Linked DNA regions of Rattus norvegicus. The protein of the gene in region 1 purifies or fractionates together with the protein of each later gene. This does not show direct contact. Links are inferred from orthologs where the notes say so. Each region holds a gene or a part of one and is shown in the gene's direction. Other genes may lie near its edges. The genes, in order: Pitpnm3 and Vapa.

The links.
Region 2: the proteins of Pitpnm3 (region 1) and Vapa purify together in Homo sapiens (co-immunoprecipitation; 3 studies listed by BioGRID and IntAct, with this or other methods). This does not show direct contact. The link is inferred for Rattus norvegicus from reciprocal best matches to the Homo sapiens genes PITPNM3 and VAPA.

What each region holds. Positions count from the first base shown.
Region 1 is NC_086028.1:57,262,161-57,266,632, reverse strand, and holds the start of Pitpnm3 (membrane-associated phosphatidylinositol transfer protein 3), read left to right. Parts: upstream 1-1,446; 5' UTR 1,447-1,717; coding exon 1,718-1,739; intron 1,740-4,472. UniProt on the Homo sapiens protein: Catalyzes the transfer of phosphatidylinositol and phosphatidylcholine between membranes (in vitro). Binds calcium ions.
Region 2 is NC_086027.1:112,634,070-112,637,876, reverse strand, and holds part of Vapa (vesicle-associated membrane protein-associated protein A), read left to right. Parts: intron 1-429; coding exon 430-582; intron 583-1,251; coding exon 1,252-1,355; intron 1,356-2,070; coding exon 2,071-2,151; intron 2,152-3,807. UniProt on the Homo sapiens protein: Endoplasmic reticulum (ER)-anchored protein that mediates the formation of contact sites between the ER and endosomes via interaction with FFAT motif-containing proteins such as STARD3 or WDR44.

The sequences.
Region 1 (4,472 bases):
TTACACAGAAAGCCACACAGAGACTGCTCGCTCTGTAACAACCACTGCACTACAGTTCCAATATGGGGGAGCGCTCCAGGGTTAGAGGTGGAAAGGGGTACCCATGCCCTTCCTGCCAGTAGCCTGAGCTGGTGAACAGCTTTGAATTCATGACTTTGGGGGCTTCTCAACTTCCATGTCTACAGGATGTGTTGCTGTCCCACTCTGGAGTCCTTGGGACTAAAGGGTTTCCTGAAAGGTGAGACAGTCAGTCATAGTTAAAACTAAGATGGACAATGTTTGTCAAAGCCTGGTGGCTAGCACATCGGCCTGCACAGAGGATCCTAGGAAACCCTGGTTTGGTAGGTGAGGCATCAGAAGGCAAGGAGAGGCCCATGAGTACAGGATAGTCTTCTGCTGAGGTGAAGAACATTTTTGCTGTTAGCTCTGTGCAATAATAGTTTTGAAAATGCTCTTGGCTGAGGGACTGAGCCTTTGATAGAATCAAGAGGGAGTGAGTGTAAGGGCTGGTTAACAAAGATAGGCCGAAGGAGTCTAAGCCCAGAAGTGGGCGTGTCCACGGAGACCCCTTGTGTGCTTTCTTTCTATGGGGCAGTGGATGGGACACTAAAGTCCTGGCTGGCCCAGGGTGCTTGGCTGCATACTGTGGGAGAAAAACAGGCTTCAGGGAAGGCACAAGAGTCCTCTGAGGAGCCTAGCCCTCCCTCTAGCCGACAGCAGGGAGGAAGTGGCCTAGCCTGGAACTGGGCTAGGAGAGGACTATTCTCTCCAGGATCCTCCTACCTTCTAGGCCCCCTAGAAATGACTGACCATCTTCTGTGGATCCCCTGACTGCAGTGGGCAGAAACAATGAAATTTAAATGTCTCAGGAGGTCTGTTAACTAGAATGTCTGCACTTCTGTGAGAAAAGTATTAGGGGGACACTGCTTTCTGCCAGGCCCCCCATAAATCCTGCTCAGCGTGACCTGGCAGGTGGGGTTTGCAGGTTTAACAGGTCCTTTGGTGCTAAAGGACAAAAGCTTTTCTCTTTTGAGACTAGAGCAGATCCAAGCATCCAGCACCCCTAGAGTTGGAAGCTGATGGAGAAGACCCCTCACGAACCAAGCGAGACTTCGTTCTAGGTTTCTCGGTCTCTTGGGTCCTGGTCTTCCTTGCTCTCTCACTCTGTCCTCACGGACTCTATCTAGCCAGCTCCGATTTCCTTGAATTTTTCTCTCTCCCCCAAGGGTGTTTCTGCCCTAGGAGTGTGTCTTTCGGGTGCGGTGCCTCAGGGTCACTGCGCCCTAGGCTCGCCGTCCATATCTCCATCCCTGCCCGGCCCGCTAGCGTCTCCGAGCTGTAATCCCCAGTCTGTCTACGTCTGTCTTTCCCCGAGGGTCGTGGTCTCAGTGGCCGCAGTCAGTGGGCTGTGCCTCCCGCGCGCTGCGGTGGCCGCGCGGCTCGGGCGGGGGTGCGGGCCCGCGGGGGCGGTGTCGGGCGCCTTCCGTCGTCAGTCCCTCCCCGGCGGCGCGGAGGGGGGAGCGGCGCGGCCGCCGCTCGGCTCCTTTAAGGGAGCGGGAGGGAGCGGCGAGGCGGCGGCGGTTGCGGTGGAGGCGGCCGAGCGAGCGGGGCGGGGGCGCGGGGCGCGGCGCCCGGAGAGTCCGCTCCGGCCGAAGGCGCCGGGGCCGGGCCGGGAGCGAGCAGCGCCGGCAGCACAGCGGAGCCCGCCGCCCGGGACATGGCTAAGGCGGGCAGCGCAGGTGAGCGCGGCACGGGGCGCGCGGCGGGTGGCGGGAGGAATCGCTCGGCCCAGGTGAGCCCCCCCACCAGATGGGCGGAGGCAAAGTGACCTCGGCGACCCGCCCGGACCCTGGGCGTGTAGAAGGGGCTCCGCGCGCCCTGCGTCCTTCCCGCGCCCCCAGTCACCTCGCGGGACACCGCATCCCGCTTGCCCCGCTACATTGGGTCAGGTCTGCGGCTCCTCAGTCCAGTCGGCAGTTGTGAGCTGTCGCTGCCCTCCGGGAGACCGGGGGAGTAGATCCCGGCACCGGAACCCAAAGGGGATGTCCCGTGGCCACCGACCCATCCCACGCCCAACAAACCAGGACGCGCCCCCTTGTCCTGTCACTCTGCCTGGATGCGACAGTCCCCTGCCCCTGCCACCAGCTGGGTCAGGAGACCCAGATTACTGGTCCCACCGCTGGAGGGGTACTCTGTGGTTGGGGAGCCGCCCCGCCCCCCACCCGACCCAGAGGCAGTGCCTCAGGTGCCAGGCTAGGCAGGCCGGGCCTGTGTGGGGGGGTCCCATGGGCTCTGCTCTTCTGCAAGCTCAGAGCTGTAGCCCAAGGTTCGCAGGGAGTAGGCTCTGGTCGTCCCTTCATTCATCCAGCCAGGCGTTCATTCACCAGCATCTGCTCTGATGTCAGGCCCTGTGAGTTGGCTAGGACCTGGAGGGGATCAGATTTAGCCCCCAACTCGCCGCTCTGGCCCTGGGCCCCAAGAGTGCCCTAAAAGGCCAAGTTGAGGAAAAGCCTGTGTTACAGGGCTGGCCACAAATGGGTGAGGCTGGTCTCAACAGCCGTGAGCCTGGGAGCTGGCGTGTGAGACTCTGCCATGAACTCACACCCAACCTGTGACGCCGGGCAGGTGCCATGCCATCCCTGTGGGGCCTGGTGTGAACCCACTTCCCCACCCATAGACACTGTAAAGATGGAGTGAACATGGTCACCTGCTTACACTCTAGCTGTGAGTGCCGTTGAGCTCCCGTGGCCCTGGGACAGGTCCCAATCCTTGGCATGCACTGGCCTTGTGACTCAGGTGCCTGCTATTACAGAGGAATCCTGTCAGGGAGAGGCTGCTTGTGTGAGACAGCATAACCAAATGCATCTGAACACCCCCTTTCCCACTCCCCTCCCCTCCCCTCCCGAGGGAGGCACAGTGAGATGACACCGGGAGGCTGGAAAAGGCTCTCTGCTCCCTTCTTTCTCCCACCTTGGTCCCTCCCCACCCCTGCTCTTCATAAAGAAAGAGCATCGTGTCTTTGCTGCCCATTCTACATGTGTTCGTGTGTAGGCACAGGTCTCTTGCCAGAGCACCACAGTAGCAACAGTAGTTAGAGAAATCTCTTCTTGACCTGTGTACTAAGTAATGAAAGCCCTCAAGCCCTTTACTGCCCCACGATCCTGAGAAGTAGGAAGGCACTCCCCTTTTTAAAACCCTTGGAAGCAAATAGCTCCCTGAGGGCAGCTGGGAGGGTCTAGGCAGAGCCTGGACGCAAGGCCAAGTTTTTTCTACTCCCCTCCTCTTCATTCTGGGAGAGAGGCAGCCCCAGGTCCTAGGCATTGGCTGTTGCTGAGGTCCATGGAAGGTGAAGACATTGCCGGGCCTCCCAGCTGCCTGAAGCTACTCTACAACTTTTCCATTTCACACTCTCAGTCCTTTCCCTCAGGGCAAGCCAGACTTCCCTCCTCTGTGACCACCTGCTTGGTGCCTCTGTCCCTTACTCAGCTGCTACCCACAAGGAGCTCTGCAGATGACCTCTGGCAAGATCTGACCACTCTTCCCTTCTCAACTCCTCTGGGCAACTTGACAGCCTGCACACATCCCTTCTTTCCTTTAGCTGCCTCAAACCCAGTGACTTGAAAACACACAGTGTGGAGGAATGTCTACTCTCTCTCAGCAAGCACGTTTATGTTGAATCATAGACTTAAGCTTTACAACAGAGGCGGCCGAGGGCTTCTATTCATAGTTGGGGAAACCGAGGCCCGAGAGAGAAAGATGGCAGTTCAGTACCATACACAGACTAAAAGGCAGAAGGATCAGCCCTCCACACTGAGAGGTGAGACTGGAATAAAGGGGGGTTGTAGGGAATCTTGCCCATGAGTGAGGGGGTCTGCTTCCTGATTTGTGTGGGATTTCCTCTGAAAACTGGCCAGGGGCCCAGCTGCTGAGCGAGGAGATGGGCTTTGGGTCCTGGGGCTGTTGTACCCGACTCCAGGCTGTACACAGTAGAGTTCCAGCACCACCATCCCAGCACGATGAATGGTGATGCTGGAGTGGTACAGTGTACATCCTGAGCAGCCAGCCAAGGCTGTGCCAGCTGTGCCAGGAAGGCAGTTCAAGGACTTTCATGTAGCTAGGAGAATCCAGGCACACGAGAAAATGTAATCAGATCCAAGGAAGGATGAGATTAATTTGCAGAGTGGGTCCAACTTGATTATTACCAGTCTTCGAGCTTTGGGGCAATCTCAGCTGCACAGAAATCAGGAGTTTGCCATCTCCAATACTGGAAAGGAAGAATGCTCCTTGGTCTTGCTGTGTGGACAAAAGAAGACAGGATGAAAACCAGAGAAGGAGGTGGGGAGGAGAACAGGACTGGAACTCTGTAAAGGAAATGGTCATTTTCTGCACAGAGCTGCCCGTGGCCAGGGAAGCAGCAGGTTGGAGCAGCAAAGGCTGGGTTCTCTGCCTGGATCTTTAAGCCTAGCTGAGGT
Region 2 (3,807 bases), on another chromosome or scaffold:
GAATGGATTGAATGAATTGAGGCAGTGAGTACTGTCAGGGTTTGGTTTTGTATGGCCTTGTGAGCTCAAAGATCAGCACTGGTGACGACCACTGGGGACTGTCAGTCATGTGATGTGGTAGGAACATGAGGACAGTTTTGGCTGACAGGATGGCTCATTGGATGGAGATGCTTGTTGCCAAGCCTGAGGGATGGAGTTTGGTTTCTGGACCCCACATAATGAAAGGAGAACACTGGTTCTAAAAAGTTTCTTCTGATCTCCGTGTAGATAACCATGACACGTGTTCATACGTGCAACACACAAGCAACAATAAATAAATGTAACCAAAATTAAAAACCTAAAATCATAGTTACTTTGTGGATGAAATCACCAAAATAATGCTTTTGTGAATCCAGTTAATTTTCTTTTCCTCTGCCCCTTACCTTACAGGCCCCTTCACAGATGTAGTCACTACAAATCTTAAATTGCAGAATCCATCGGACAGAAAAGTGTGTTTCAAAGTGAAGACCACAGCGCCCCGCCGGTACTGCGTGCGGCCCAACAGTGGGGTTATTGACCCAGGGTCAATCGTGACTGTCTCAGGTAGCAGTTATGTCCTACACTAATGCAGTTTTGAATATTGACATTTTTATCTGTTTATTGTTTGGCTTCAGTTTTTGTCTAAAGGTTTTCCTTGGGTATCTGCCATATAAAATTTTACTGAAACTTTCCTACTCTGAGCTTGTGTGTGGGTGTGATTAGTTACTGTCAGTCTGAAGCATCATCTAGTCTCTGTTTCCATAACTGTCTTTCCACCGTAGTCTGTATTCTTACTCATCTTTGAAATGGCACTGTTTTGTGATTGAATCATGTTCTGTACATCCACAGAAGTGTTTTGAGGCCTTTGCTTAAAAAAATGTATGCCTGGGGCTGGGGATTTAGCTCAGTGGTAGAGCGCTTACCTAGGAGGCGTAAGGCCCTGGGTTCGGTCTAATTGTCAAGGAGTTAATGACTTTCTTTGTTTTCTTAAAATTAGATTTAAACAAATGAACACATTCTAAGTAATTGTTTAAAATCCAGTTTAAAAATGGGTTATATTAAAAGTGTTTCAGTTATCCAAATTAGAATCAGCAGAAAATGAATTTACTAATAATTGAAAGTTATAACGTGGCTTGTGCATCTTGAGACTACTACGTTTGAGTTTGACCCCATCTTGCTATTACGCTTGTGTGTTGCTGTGGTGGTGATCATGTGCCCTCTCTCTTTGTTTAGTAATGCTGCAGCCCTTTGACTATGATCCGAACGAAAAGAGTAAACATAAGTTCATGGTACAGACAATTTTTGCTCCACCAAACATTTCAGATATGGAAGCTGTGGTAAGTGTAGAAGTTGTATTTTTGGAGCTGTGGTTTAAATTTGTTTTGTTTAACTCTCAACAATCCTGACTTCCTTGCCAAAAATTAATTATCAGAACAAAATTAAAATTTAAACAATTAAAAAGCCTTTTAGTTTTTTGACACCCCCCCGCCCCCCCAAAAAAAAAAAAGGAAGACATGATTCTGCCTGTTCTGGAACTTTGTAGACCAAGGCTGACTTTGAACTTAAGAGAGATCCTCTTGCCTCTGCGTCTTCCATCACAGAGCTGGAAGGCATGCATGGCCCACCAAGCCTGAAATACTGTTCCTTGGGAACCATTTAGAAACACTAAGGTGAAGAAGACTCGTGTGTGTTGCCTTCCATTGCATTCTGTGGGTCAGAGGTCAGCTGGGTCAGGCTGGCCTCCCAGTCTGTCTACCACACAGTGTGGCTCCTAGGATGGACTCAGGCCACCAGGGTGGCAGCAGTACCCTTGCCTTCCTGGGCCCAGTGTCAGTGTGGCTTTAATTGATGGTGATGGCAGAGACACTGGTACATGATTGTAGGCGACCTGCAGTCAACTCCAGCCAGCAGCAGCCGAGCTTTCGCTTCCTGACGGGGCCGTTGTCTAAGCCACCGTTCCCAGGCTTCAGTTGTCCCCTCTGGTGAGACCTGAGTGCCACATGCTCTCTTTTCTCATCTTTGGATTTTTGTTTTGTTTCTTTTTCCTTTTAGTGGAAAGAGGCAAAACCTGACGAACTAATGGATTCTAAACTGAGATGTGTATTTGAGATGCCGAATGAAAACGATAAGCTGGTGAGTAAGAAAGAAACCTTGGTCGGTCATCAGCCTCTGACACTGGGCTTGTAGTGCCTGGTCATTTTATGAGACGTAAAAAGCTTGATAATGCTATTTCCAATTTATGATATTTTGTTTGCCCAAGAAGAAGTAAATATTACACGGTAGGTCCAAATTTCAGTGTGGAAAGAATTTCTGAGAATGCTCTCAAATTCTGAAATCATGTCTTTATCCTTTTTCTTAAAGAATAAGACATGCATATGCAGATACAGCTATAAAATCAGGGCTTCTTTTTGGGTAATCATCAATATTCTTGGACTAAAATATATAATTTACAGGGATAAGTCATCTTCCCCCCAGTTTAGCCTTTGCCAAACACTTTGCATATTTTTGTCTTCTGATCAAAATCAATTTTATTTTTTAGTGAATAATTGCTTATTGATTAGCATTAAGCAACTACATATTTGGGGGGGCTGAAGGATAGATATGTTTTTGTAGCAGACCAGTGGCCTATGCTCTATATAATATAAATTAAAAAATTTTTAAAAGTATTTTATTTTATGTGTATGGTTGCTTTGCCTTTATGTATATCTGTGCTTGTGTGGTGCCCTCAGAGACCAGAGAGGGCATAGGTTTCAATGCTTTTGAATTGCCATGGGTGGGTGCTGGCAATGGAACCCCAGGCCTTGTGGAAGAAGAGTAGCCATCTCTCCAAACCCAAGGATTTTTCATTTTTTCTGTGGTTTGTAGGAGGGACTATAGAACAAAGTTTTTGTGTGGATTGAAATGTATAAAATACTGTGGGTAAATGTAATTGGTATAATTTGGTTATAGTCTGGTATGACTCTTGCTTTGATCTGGTAACTTGTTTGCTCTATTCAGAGTAAACTATATTTCTTGATAAGAAAGCTGAAATAAAAATGCTCATAAACGTTAGTTAGGTATTGACCAGTAAATGACTTAAGTTTTCAACACATCTTTTTTTTTTTTTTTTTTTTTTTTTTCCGGAGCTGGGGACCGAACCCAGGGCCTTGCGCTTGCTAGGCAAGTGCTCTACCACTGAGCTAAATCCCCAACCCCTTCAACACATCTTTTTAAAGTGAATCAGAACCATAATTGCCAGAGTAAGAAGTACAGTGTTTAGACTTTATATGTTAGTTTCCCTGTTTATCTGTGCTGGCTCCAAAGATAATAGCTTCCATTGCTTTTTGTATTTAACAACCAAAGATAAATTTATCTTGATTGACATTACTGTAAAAGTGATTTGGGGATATTAATAATAATAGTAGTAGTTATTATTACTATTACTACTACTTTTGTTTTTTAAGACAGAGTTTCTCTGTATAACCCTGGTGACTTGGAACTCACTCTGTAGATCAGGCTGGCCTCAAATTGAGATCTGCATTGCCTCTGTCTCCTAACTGGGATTACCACCAGTCAGGCTTAGTCCCTACATTCTTCTTCTTAGATTGGTTTATTAGACCTTCCTTTCTTTCTTTCTTTCTTTTTTTTTTTTTTTTTTTTTTTTTGTTCTTTTTTTCGGAGCTGGGGACTGAACCCAGGGCCTTGTGCTTCCTAGGCAAGCGCTCTACCACTGAGCTAAATCCCCAACCCCTTATTAGACCTTTCAAGTTGGCTCTTAGCACTTAAACCAAGTAATCATTAGTGACCTCT